Linked DNA regions of Sus scrofa. The protein of the gene in region 2 purifies or fractionates together with the protein of the main gene of each other region. This does not show direct contact. Links are inferred from orthologs where the notes say so. Each region holds a gene or a part of one and is shown on either strand. Other genes may lie near its edges.

Region 1 (4,596 bases), on a different chromosome or scaffold from region 2:
TTGAATGAAGGCTCTCCCCACATCCTCAGGTCAGCTGGCCACTTAAAAAGGGAGAAGGCACGCCTTTTCTGTTGGGTACTTGACAACAGTTCATAAAATGGATACAACAGATGGACACACTTTGAGAAGGGTGACAGAAGGTGCTGGAGTTGAATGTTTTTTACCTTCTCAGTGAAGGAGGAATCAGGGCCACCTGTCAAGGGAGAGAGGAGAAAGGAAAACAGGTTAGGTGGGGAAGAGAAAGGCCATGTGTAAGAGCAACAGTGCGGCTGCCCTTGAGTATCACGGAGAACTAAATAAAACGACTAGGTAGGTGCTGGACCAACGTGATTCCATGATTTTTAAGTTGCCATCTCATATTTACTCCTGGGAACTGACACTAGTAGCAACCACCACTGTTTATCATGTAGTTATCATGTGCTACTGGGTGTTTACCTAAATTATCTTCATTTTCCTAACAATAGATCGAAGTATTATTAGTTCTAATTATTACCAAACTATAAAAAGAGACACTGAGGCTCAAAAAGGTTTTACCTTAATAATAATAATAATAAAAAGACCAGGTACTATGTTGCCAATCACTGTTCTGGGCACAGAAAACAGAGGCCAGGGGGCTGCCTTAGCGCTTTATTGAAGGAGTGCAGACAGAAAAGTGAATGAAAATAACTGAAACAGATAACAAGTGGTGAGAAAATAGTAAAACGGCTATGATTGACCATAATAAATATGGTGTAGTAATGGAGGAGGGAATGTGGTCAGGGGGGGACCCTCTGTGGTACAAGTGAGCCGAAAATTTTAGGATGACACGATGGAAGAGTTTTCTAGTCCAAAGAAAGGCTAAGTACAGAGGTCCTGAGGCAAGCATCAACTTGGCTTCTAGGAGGAACGCTAAGCTAAGGTCGGGGCAGTCACAGCTTAGTGAGCAAGTAGGTACAGGCCAAGGTAGGAGGCGCCATGGCAAGTCAGGGGAAGGATTCACGCGAAGGGGGTAACTCCATCGGAAGCAATGGAATAACGAGCCGAAGAGGCAGGAGCCAGGCTGCCCCGAGGTCCGACGCAAGTTTCCCTTCCGTGATGCTGCCCCCGGGGTGAGGCAACCCGTCAGGAGAGTCCCAGGGGCCAAAGGGCCGAGGCCCGCGGGGGTGGGGGTGGAGGTGTAAGGCTTGTGACCTCCCGGTGTAGCGAGAATCGAGGCAGGATCGCGGGCCACGCCCGGCCAACAAGCAGCCCCCTTCTCCCACCTCAGAATCCCCCTCTTCTTATTCCAGTTAGCGACCCCCGCCCGCAGCACCACCCACTCCGCTCGGCCTGGCTGGATTTTTCCTCGGGGCGGCGAGTCTGCTTTCCAAAACTTGGAGAAGACAGTACCCTCAGGAATGACAGGGAGATGAAATAACTCAGGGCTGGGGCGAAGTCCTATGGGAAATAGGCCTTTTTATTTCTGCCTTGTTTTCCCTCACGGCTTTCCAGAAACGACTTGCTTCCCAGGATGCTCTCCAAATCACCCCCTCCAACAGCGAGACTATTGGTTTGGCCTCTAGTCCCAGATTGGCTGAAGGATTAGGCCTCGGCCAGGGATTGGAGGACGTTCGTTCCTTACGTATTCTCGGCGCTTATTGGTTCGTTTTCTCCGTTTCTGGGCGGAGTGGTGACGGGCGGTTTCCACCCTCTTGTTTACGGAGCGCGTAGTTGTAGCGCTCTCGGAGCTCTGGGGCTGGCTCCAAAGTTCCCTATTTAGCTCCTCGGCCCAATTGGATCTTTGCTCCGCCCTCTCCCGCTCCCTTGCACGCCTCCCGCGTGGTAGGGCCCACACCTTTAGAGCGGCGGCGCGAGCGGACGCTCGTCACGTTCCTCCGCCCGCGCTCGCCGGCCGCCTCCCCCCGCCACGAGCGTGCGCTTGGTACGGCCCCCGCCGCCTCCATCCCTCGCTGGGGTGGCTGCCCCCCCTCGGGTCGGCGGCGCTTGGTGCCGCCCGGGAGAACCAGGTCATCGGTCGGTTCCCGTGAAAACAAAAACAATCGGCGGCGCCGCGTCGGACAGCGAACGCGGCGAGCGGGGGCTCGGGGCCGGGTGGGAAGAACGAGCGGGAGCAGCGGCGACGCGCCGGGGTCGGGGCGCCATGGGGCAGGCGGGCGCGGGCTGCGCGGAGCTCCCTCGGCGCCGGGGCTAGCGCGTCCGCCTCTTCAGTCTCCCGTGCCGCCCGCTTGGGGGACGAGGAGCAGGACGCGGCCTCGGCCGGGCCCGGGCCGAACGGCTGCGGACACCCGGGCGCTGGGCAGCCGAGCGCCGCTGCCGCCACCGCCTCCGGGATGGATCAGTGCGTGACGGTGGAGCGCGAGCTGGAGAAGGTGCTGCACAAGTTCTCGGGCTACGGGCAGCTGTGCGAGCGCGGCCTGGAGGAGCTTATCGACTACACGGGCGGCCTCAAGCACGAGATCCTGCAGAGCCACGGTAGGGCGGCCCGGGTGGGCGCGCGGGGCCAGGCCTCGGCGGGCCAGGAAGGGTGGCCTCCGGGGGCCTCGGCTCCTCCTTCCCTGCGGCCCTTTTGGCTTTTTCCTGCTTCTCTCTCCGGTTTTGTCTCCAACTTACCCCGACCTCGTTGTTAATTAAGAGTGAGCCCGAACCCACCCGGAAAACCAATTCTGAAGCCTGGGGCTCCAGCCCAGGTTAAACGGGGGTGGGGCCGTCCGTCGCACCTGCAAACTGCCGCCCTCCCGGGCTGGGCTCCCCTGGTCAGTTGCCTTGGGCATAAGGCTCTGGGTAAACAGAGAGTCAGTGCAGGGAGCCCCCTCTTTCTTCTCTGCCCCAAACTCTTAGCGCAGAGACTTACTTTTCTCGTCTTTCCTTTTCTTTCTTTTTCTTTTTTTTTTTAAATTAGAAAGTTGAGTGTTATTCTTAGCTGTGGGTTAACAGAACAGCCGCTTCTGCAACTCCATAATTTAACTCTGTGTGGAAGCAGTTTTTCTTTAATTCGGCAGCGGCACTGACTTGATTGCTAGGAAACTAGCTGAACCAAACTGTTCAGCTCTCCTCCTGGAGCCAGTGATGAGACGGAGGAACTCTCCAGAAACACATTGTGGCACAAGTTGGTAGTTAACTTGCTTACCTGGTCAAGTTTTTAACTTGTTTTCCTTTCAGAAAACAGATTTTCTATAGTAGGTGTTTTTCCTATATGGTTACTGCCTAGACCCTGGGGGCAGATACTTTGCCAAAGTTTAATTTGTGGAAGCTGCTTGGGAAGGGTTTGTTTTTTTTTGTTTTTTAAATAACATTCAACGTCTGATGTTTGAATTTAAATATCCACAGTGGTGATTCCTTCTGAGCCAGAAGTAAAGGACTTTATGTGATGGATTTATTGAAGAGCTGTTCGGAGGCCTTTTCAACTTGGAGGCAGAACAGAATTTTTTTGAAAAGGAAGGTTTGGGGGGATGTGTAGACCTGGCAGGTGAGGTTGAGGAGAGTGGTCCTAGTTGAGCCTCTCTCCACCGCTCCTTCTTTCTTGCACACCTTCCTTTCCCAGACTGCTTTATCCTGAGAGTTAGTGCTTCTGAAGGGGAAGTAGACCTAGAGTGGGGTGGGACTCTGGGGAGGTGCTGGTGAACTTGGTTTTGGACAAGTGAGAAGCTGAAGGGCTAATGAAGATTGAGTCAAGAGCTCAGTGATATTTTCTGGTGGCTGAAGATACATAGGTGGAGTTTGGGAGGAGGTAAGGTCTAGGGTGGTTTCCTGGTGTCCTTTCTGCGGGAGAGGGAAGGAGAGCCCTTAGGCCACAGGGAGGAAAGACTTTAGGATCTAAGCATAGCCTTGAAGCGTGGAAGGCCAGGAGGAGCCTGCAGAAAGGACGGGTTTAGAGAAAGAGAGGTTGGTCAAGGTTTGTGGCTGCTGGGAGTCAGTGACCCTCTTTACTTGCAGTTTCATAGAATTGTTAAAATAAACTAGGTGACAGAGAGGTAAGAAGAATGTGCAGATCAAGGTGAAGGGGGCTGCTTCAGTAAAGGGACTGAAGGAGTGCCCCTCCCCCTCCACTGGGGAGGAAATCTTGGTCTTGTTAAAGACTGAAAGGGAAGGAGTGAGTGAAGGGTGTAGACTTGGAGAGGCAGAAGGAACATTTCAGTTTTACTGACCAGGTCAGAGATTGAGGGCTGGGTTAGGCAGAGCTTGAGAGAGAGAAGATGGAAAGTAAAATCCCTTTCTTCCCTGAGAGAGAGAGAGAGAGAGAGAGAGAGAGAGATAGAGGGCATGCTAATTGAAGGGGGATGTGGTTGTGAACCTTGTTGTAGGGGATTTGGGGTCCATCCCGGGTGGACAAAATAATTTGGAGAAATTGCTAAAGTGGGAATTTTAGACCTCCTCGCTTGTTATTGGGGAACTTTTCAAGGAATTTACAGCCAGTAGGATATTAGCCACAGAGTTTGCTGGGCTGTTTAAAAAGTCTGATGTGATGAATTGCTCATGTTTTCTTTTCAGCCTCCTGCTTTTTACTTTGTCTACCAAATTGCAGTCTTATATTGATATCTCTGATTTTCTCCAATTCTTTGCTAATAGGATGACATGACTAAAGGCAACTATAAAATATGAAAAAAATACTGCTTAAAT
Region 2 (4,401 bases):
TCCTCTTTCACTAGCTCAGCTGTTATCTATAATTAAGGACTCTAAAGAAGATAATCTATTTGCCTCCCTACAAGTTTAAGAAACCCCCCTCGGTTTCTTTGGTAGTATAAAACCATAGCACCAACATTTCAGTCTGTATCTTTGCAGTGTTTAAGAGGCCATTCTCATTCACACTAGTTTAAGCACATTAAATATATGCACTCTGGGGAGTTCCTGTCATGGCTCAGTGGAAATGAATCAAAGTAGCATCCATGAGGATGCCAGTTCTCATGGTTCAATGCTAGTCCACTGGTTCGAGCCCTGGCCTTGCTCAATGGGTTAAGGATCTGGAATTGCTGTGAGCTGTGGTGTACGTTGCAGACTCGGCTCAGATCTGGCGTTGCTGTGGCTGTGGTATAGGCTAGCAGCCACAGTTCTGATTCAGACCCTAGCCTGGGAACCTCCATATGCCGCAGGTGCAGCCCTAAAAGGAAAGAAAAATAATGCACTTTCATCAGATGGTGGAAATGGAAAAATACAAGCTTTAAAGCCCTTTAATTATACAAGCTTCCTGCAATAAACAGGAATAAAAGTAAAAGACACAATAGCTTGCCATCCTTACAATTTCAGAATCATAGAATTCTGGAACTGAAGGCAGTTTAGCGCTAGCCTAGCCCCCCACAGTACAGACAAAGAGATCTAAGCCCCATGACCTACCCACAACCACACAACTCTCCCAGGCAGGGATGTTAAGGCTTCACTGAGAAAGCAGGCAAAGCTCCAACTGCAGCAGTCCTGCCCCCAGCATCGCCCCCTGGCTGGGCATTTTGCATGCACCACAAGGGGGACAGTCCCAAGGAGAAAGAAAGTATTCTGAACACTCAGGAACACACATTTGGGGTTGGCATGAAGGTCACTGGTGGGGTTAGCAAACTCCCCACACCAGACCTAAGATCTGATGAGGAAAGCTTTCCCAAGGCAGGTGAAATCATGTTATTTCACAACTTAAACACCTGTTTTACAACAATTACCAGGAAAAAAACAGAGAGACTAGGAAAAAAGGAAGAAAAATGACAAATCTCCCCTGTGATGTCCTGTGTCTGCTTAGATCACCCTAAAATAGGGAGCTTCCCTAATGCTGACTTTAATATGGACCTTCCTAAAGCTGGTCCAACTGGTGTTCAAGTCCCGAGACTGAAAAACAAGTTTATGAGTAGCAAGGTCACCTGATTTTGACCATGTGCATGCTGTTTACCCTAAGATGACAGGCCAGTGGCTGCCGCAGCTTTGATGAATGCTGCAAAGACTTTACTACTCCTTTGAAGTCTAAAGGGGCCTCTACATGACTAATAACCATAAAAAGGAACCTTGAATGCAGCAAGAGTGTGAAAGGAGGGAAGTCACAAACACCCCACAATAATGGGGAAACTCCATTCTGGACACTGAATTGTTAATGTAAACTTGGTTCCCTCACCTATGAGGTACCTCATTTCGTCATCACTAAAGAGAAGCCCCTCCTCTACACCAGGTTCCTAACTGCCATCAAAGGCTGCTGCTTAGACCAGGCCATGCCTACAGCCAGGTAACAGAGGCAGCCACTATTAATCCCCTCTGCAGCCCAGACCCATACAGCTCAGCAGCTCACACAAGTCACAAGGGTCAATCAGGAGACCTCAAACTTTGACCAAAAGGAACAGCTCAGTATTGGGCTTACCCATCTCTTCCTTTGCTGACAATCTTCACCTCAAAGTAATAAATGCCACAGGCAGCAGGTATGGGGTGGGTGGCGCGCACTGAGGCTGCATCTTTGTGATTTTTGCCATGACCTAGTAAGAGAGGACAAAGAAATTTCAGCAAAAGGAAATGCAAATGGAAGACTCATTCTTCTCTGCTCCACAGCAACTTCACCCCTCATAGCCAGAGGAAGCCCTTTCCTGGTCCAAGGTGTAATTAGACAACAACTGAGCAAACACACAAACCTCCCACCTCATCCTCAGAACAGTAGCACTGTCTGAGACACTGTCTCCATACAAACCACAGGAGGCATATGCAAGGTGGGTGACAAGTGAGAGATTCCCTCGTGCTGCTGCCAGACTCTCCAGAATACAAGCAGCCAAGCAGCCCACTTAGGAGACTAAGGGAGGAAGAGGCAGCCCTGGAAGATGGCCCCACAACTTTAGCACAGAACCGTAGGCAGTGTCTGAGATGTCCAGCAGGTAAGCAAGCTCATGCACCTCTGGCTAATAGAGAGGATGAGACCACTAATGTCTACAGAGACGTTTAAAGCTAAGCAGTGGTGAAGGGCCCAGGGAGAGTTCCAACTACCACAGGACAGGCAAGAAGGCCTTGGGTGCAATGTCCAACCCAGCACTGGGTTTGGACACCTGTTGAGGTTCTCCTGACATCCGAAGTCTCACGGCAGAGTAGGCTAAGCAGCCAATCCTCGGTCTGGTCAGCCCACCACCCAAACACCCAACAGGAGCTAAGGCCTAATCCGGAGCTTGGGGAAAGGAAGTGATGAAGCAGGGGCTGGACAGCACAGCCACCCTGCTGACGCTCTGGCCTTTTACCCCCCGCGGCCAAACAGGCCGATACCTTTGTAGTGGACGCGGAGGTTGCCCTGGGAGAGGCCGATATAGTTGTACTTGTCCTTGGGGCTCCAGGAGCGCGGCAGCGGCGTCTCATGCTGGTTGACCGCGGGATACAGGCGCTGCAGGCGCCGGCTCAGTTCCTGCTCCCCCGGAGACGGCAGCCCGCCCCCAGCGCCCCCGCCGGAGGAGTCTCCAACCTGCGGGCTCCCAGCTCCCGGATCCGCCGTCGCCGCCGCCATCTTGGAGGGAGCTGCTATTGTGTCACTGGGGGCGGGGAAGAACAGGACTAGATCCGCCCCGCTCAGCCAATGGCCGGAGAGCAAACCCGGGCCGCAGGGAAATCGAGTCCGAGTTAGGTACCTCTCTTTGCATACTGCCACGCCCTGCCATATTTCGGACTTCATTTCCCAGAATGCAGAGCTCTCCATAGGGAGGCTAGCTCGGGCTGGTAAAGAACTTTGGGAGATGTAGTACAAACCGACTCAGTCATAAGCCTGCTTAGCCAAGCTATTAGGACACCAAAAACTACAGTTCCCGCTGGCAACGCGATTCTGGCCTCTCACTTCGCCTCCCTCACCCATGGCCTCTGTTTATCCTCCTGCCTCAATTCTGGTCGCTAGAGTCATATCTGCTGTAGTGACAGACTCTGAGAAGACCCTATTCCCAAGTCTGACCCCATCTTGGCTACTTGGCCTTCCTCCTAGCCCGCGGGCTCTGGGCTGGGGGCAAGACACAACCTTGACCCCGCCCCCGCCGCTGGGCTGCTGGGAACTGGTCGCCATGGCGACGAGCTGTACACTAGCACGGCTTTCCAGTTCGCGAGTGCTGGCTGCACGGCTGCCCTAGGGTCATGGCCTCCTCCAAACCGCAGTGCCCCAGCTTGGCGACCACGTCGAGGTAAGCGCTGGCAGGGCTGAGGGCGGAGAAGAGGGCTTTACTACTTCCAGAAAAAGAAATAAATGGTACCTGATTCGGACCTCTCTCCGTTGGTCTGGGGCTCCAACCGCACAGGATAGGTGATGAAGAAACAGAATCTCAGATGACTCCTCAGCTCAGGGAGGCCGTTACATTCTTGTAAAAGGGCAGGCATACTTTATCATTAGTAACAGCCATCTTGTTTGTATTGAGCGTGCCAAGTTTTTTTGTTTGTTTGTTTGTTTGTGTTTTTTTATCTTTTTAGGGCCGCACCAGCGGCGTATGGAAATAACCAAGCTAGGGGTCGAATGGGAGCTGCAGCTGCCGGCCTATATCACAGCCACAGCAACACTAGATCCGAGCCACGTCTGGGACCTGCACCTCAGGTCAGGACAACACAAGATCCTTAACCCACTGAACAAGGCCAGGGATGGAACCCGCATCCTCACGTATCTTCTGTCCGGTTCTTAATGCGCTGAGCCACAGCCGGAATTGTGCCATGCTCTTTACATAGCACAATTAACCCTCACAACAACTCTATGAATTAGTAATATCACCATTTTACAAATAGAGAAATAGAAGTCTAGAGAGATCATGAGTTTTACACCTGTTTATAAATGACTGAGCTAGGATTCAAACCCAGCCAGGCATGTGTGATTCCTGAAACTGAGCGCTTAGCCACAAGGTTAACAGCCTCTGCACCCACTGGTTTATGACAAAGAAGCATCACTAAGCAGCCTAGAAACATCCCGAGGCCTCCTGCTAGCTCCTGCCTGTATTCAGGGTGCAGCCTCTGGACACTGAAAATAAGATAACAAGCTCCGTTAGCCAGGAAAGTCACAAAGCATATATTTAAAACAAAAAATTTTGGAGTTCCCATCGTGGCTCAGTGGAAAGAAATCCAACTAGGAACCAC

Evidence for each region.
Region 1: the proteins of RANBP10 (region 2) and RMND5A purify together in Homo sapiens (affinity purification with mass spectrometry; 4 studies listed by BioGRID and IntAct, counting the BioPlex papers as one, with this or other methods). This does not show direct contact. The link is inferred for Sus scrofa from reciprocal best matches to the Homo sapiens genes RANBP10 and RMND5A.

What each region holds. Positions count from the first base shown.
Region 1 is NC_010445.4:58,093,935-58,098,530, reverse strand, and holds the start of RMND5A (protein RMD5 homolog A), read left to right. Parts: upstream 1-1,678; 5' UTR 1,679-2,309; coding exon 2,310-2,451; intron 2,452-4,596.
Region 2 is NC_010448.4:28,425,539-28,429,939, forward strand, and holds the start of RANBP10 (ran-binding protein 10), read right to left. Parts: upstream 2,846-4,401; 5' UTR 2,810-2,845; coding exon 2,575-2,809; intron 1,806-2,574; coding exon 1,694-1,805; intron 1-1,693. Other genes in the region: TSNAXIP1 (translin-associated factor X-interacting protein 1), read left to right, coding at 3,421-3,467. UniProt on the Homo sapiens protein: May act as an adapter protein to couple membrane receptors to intracellular signaling pathways.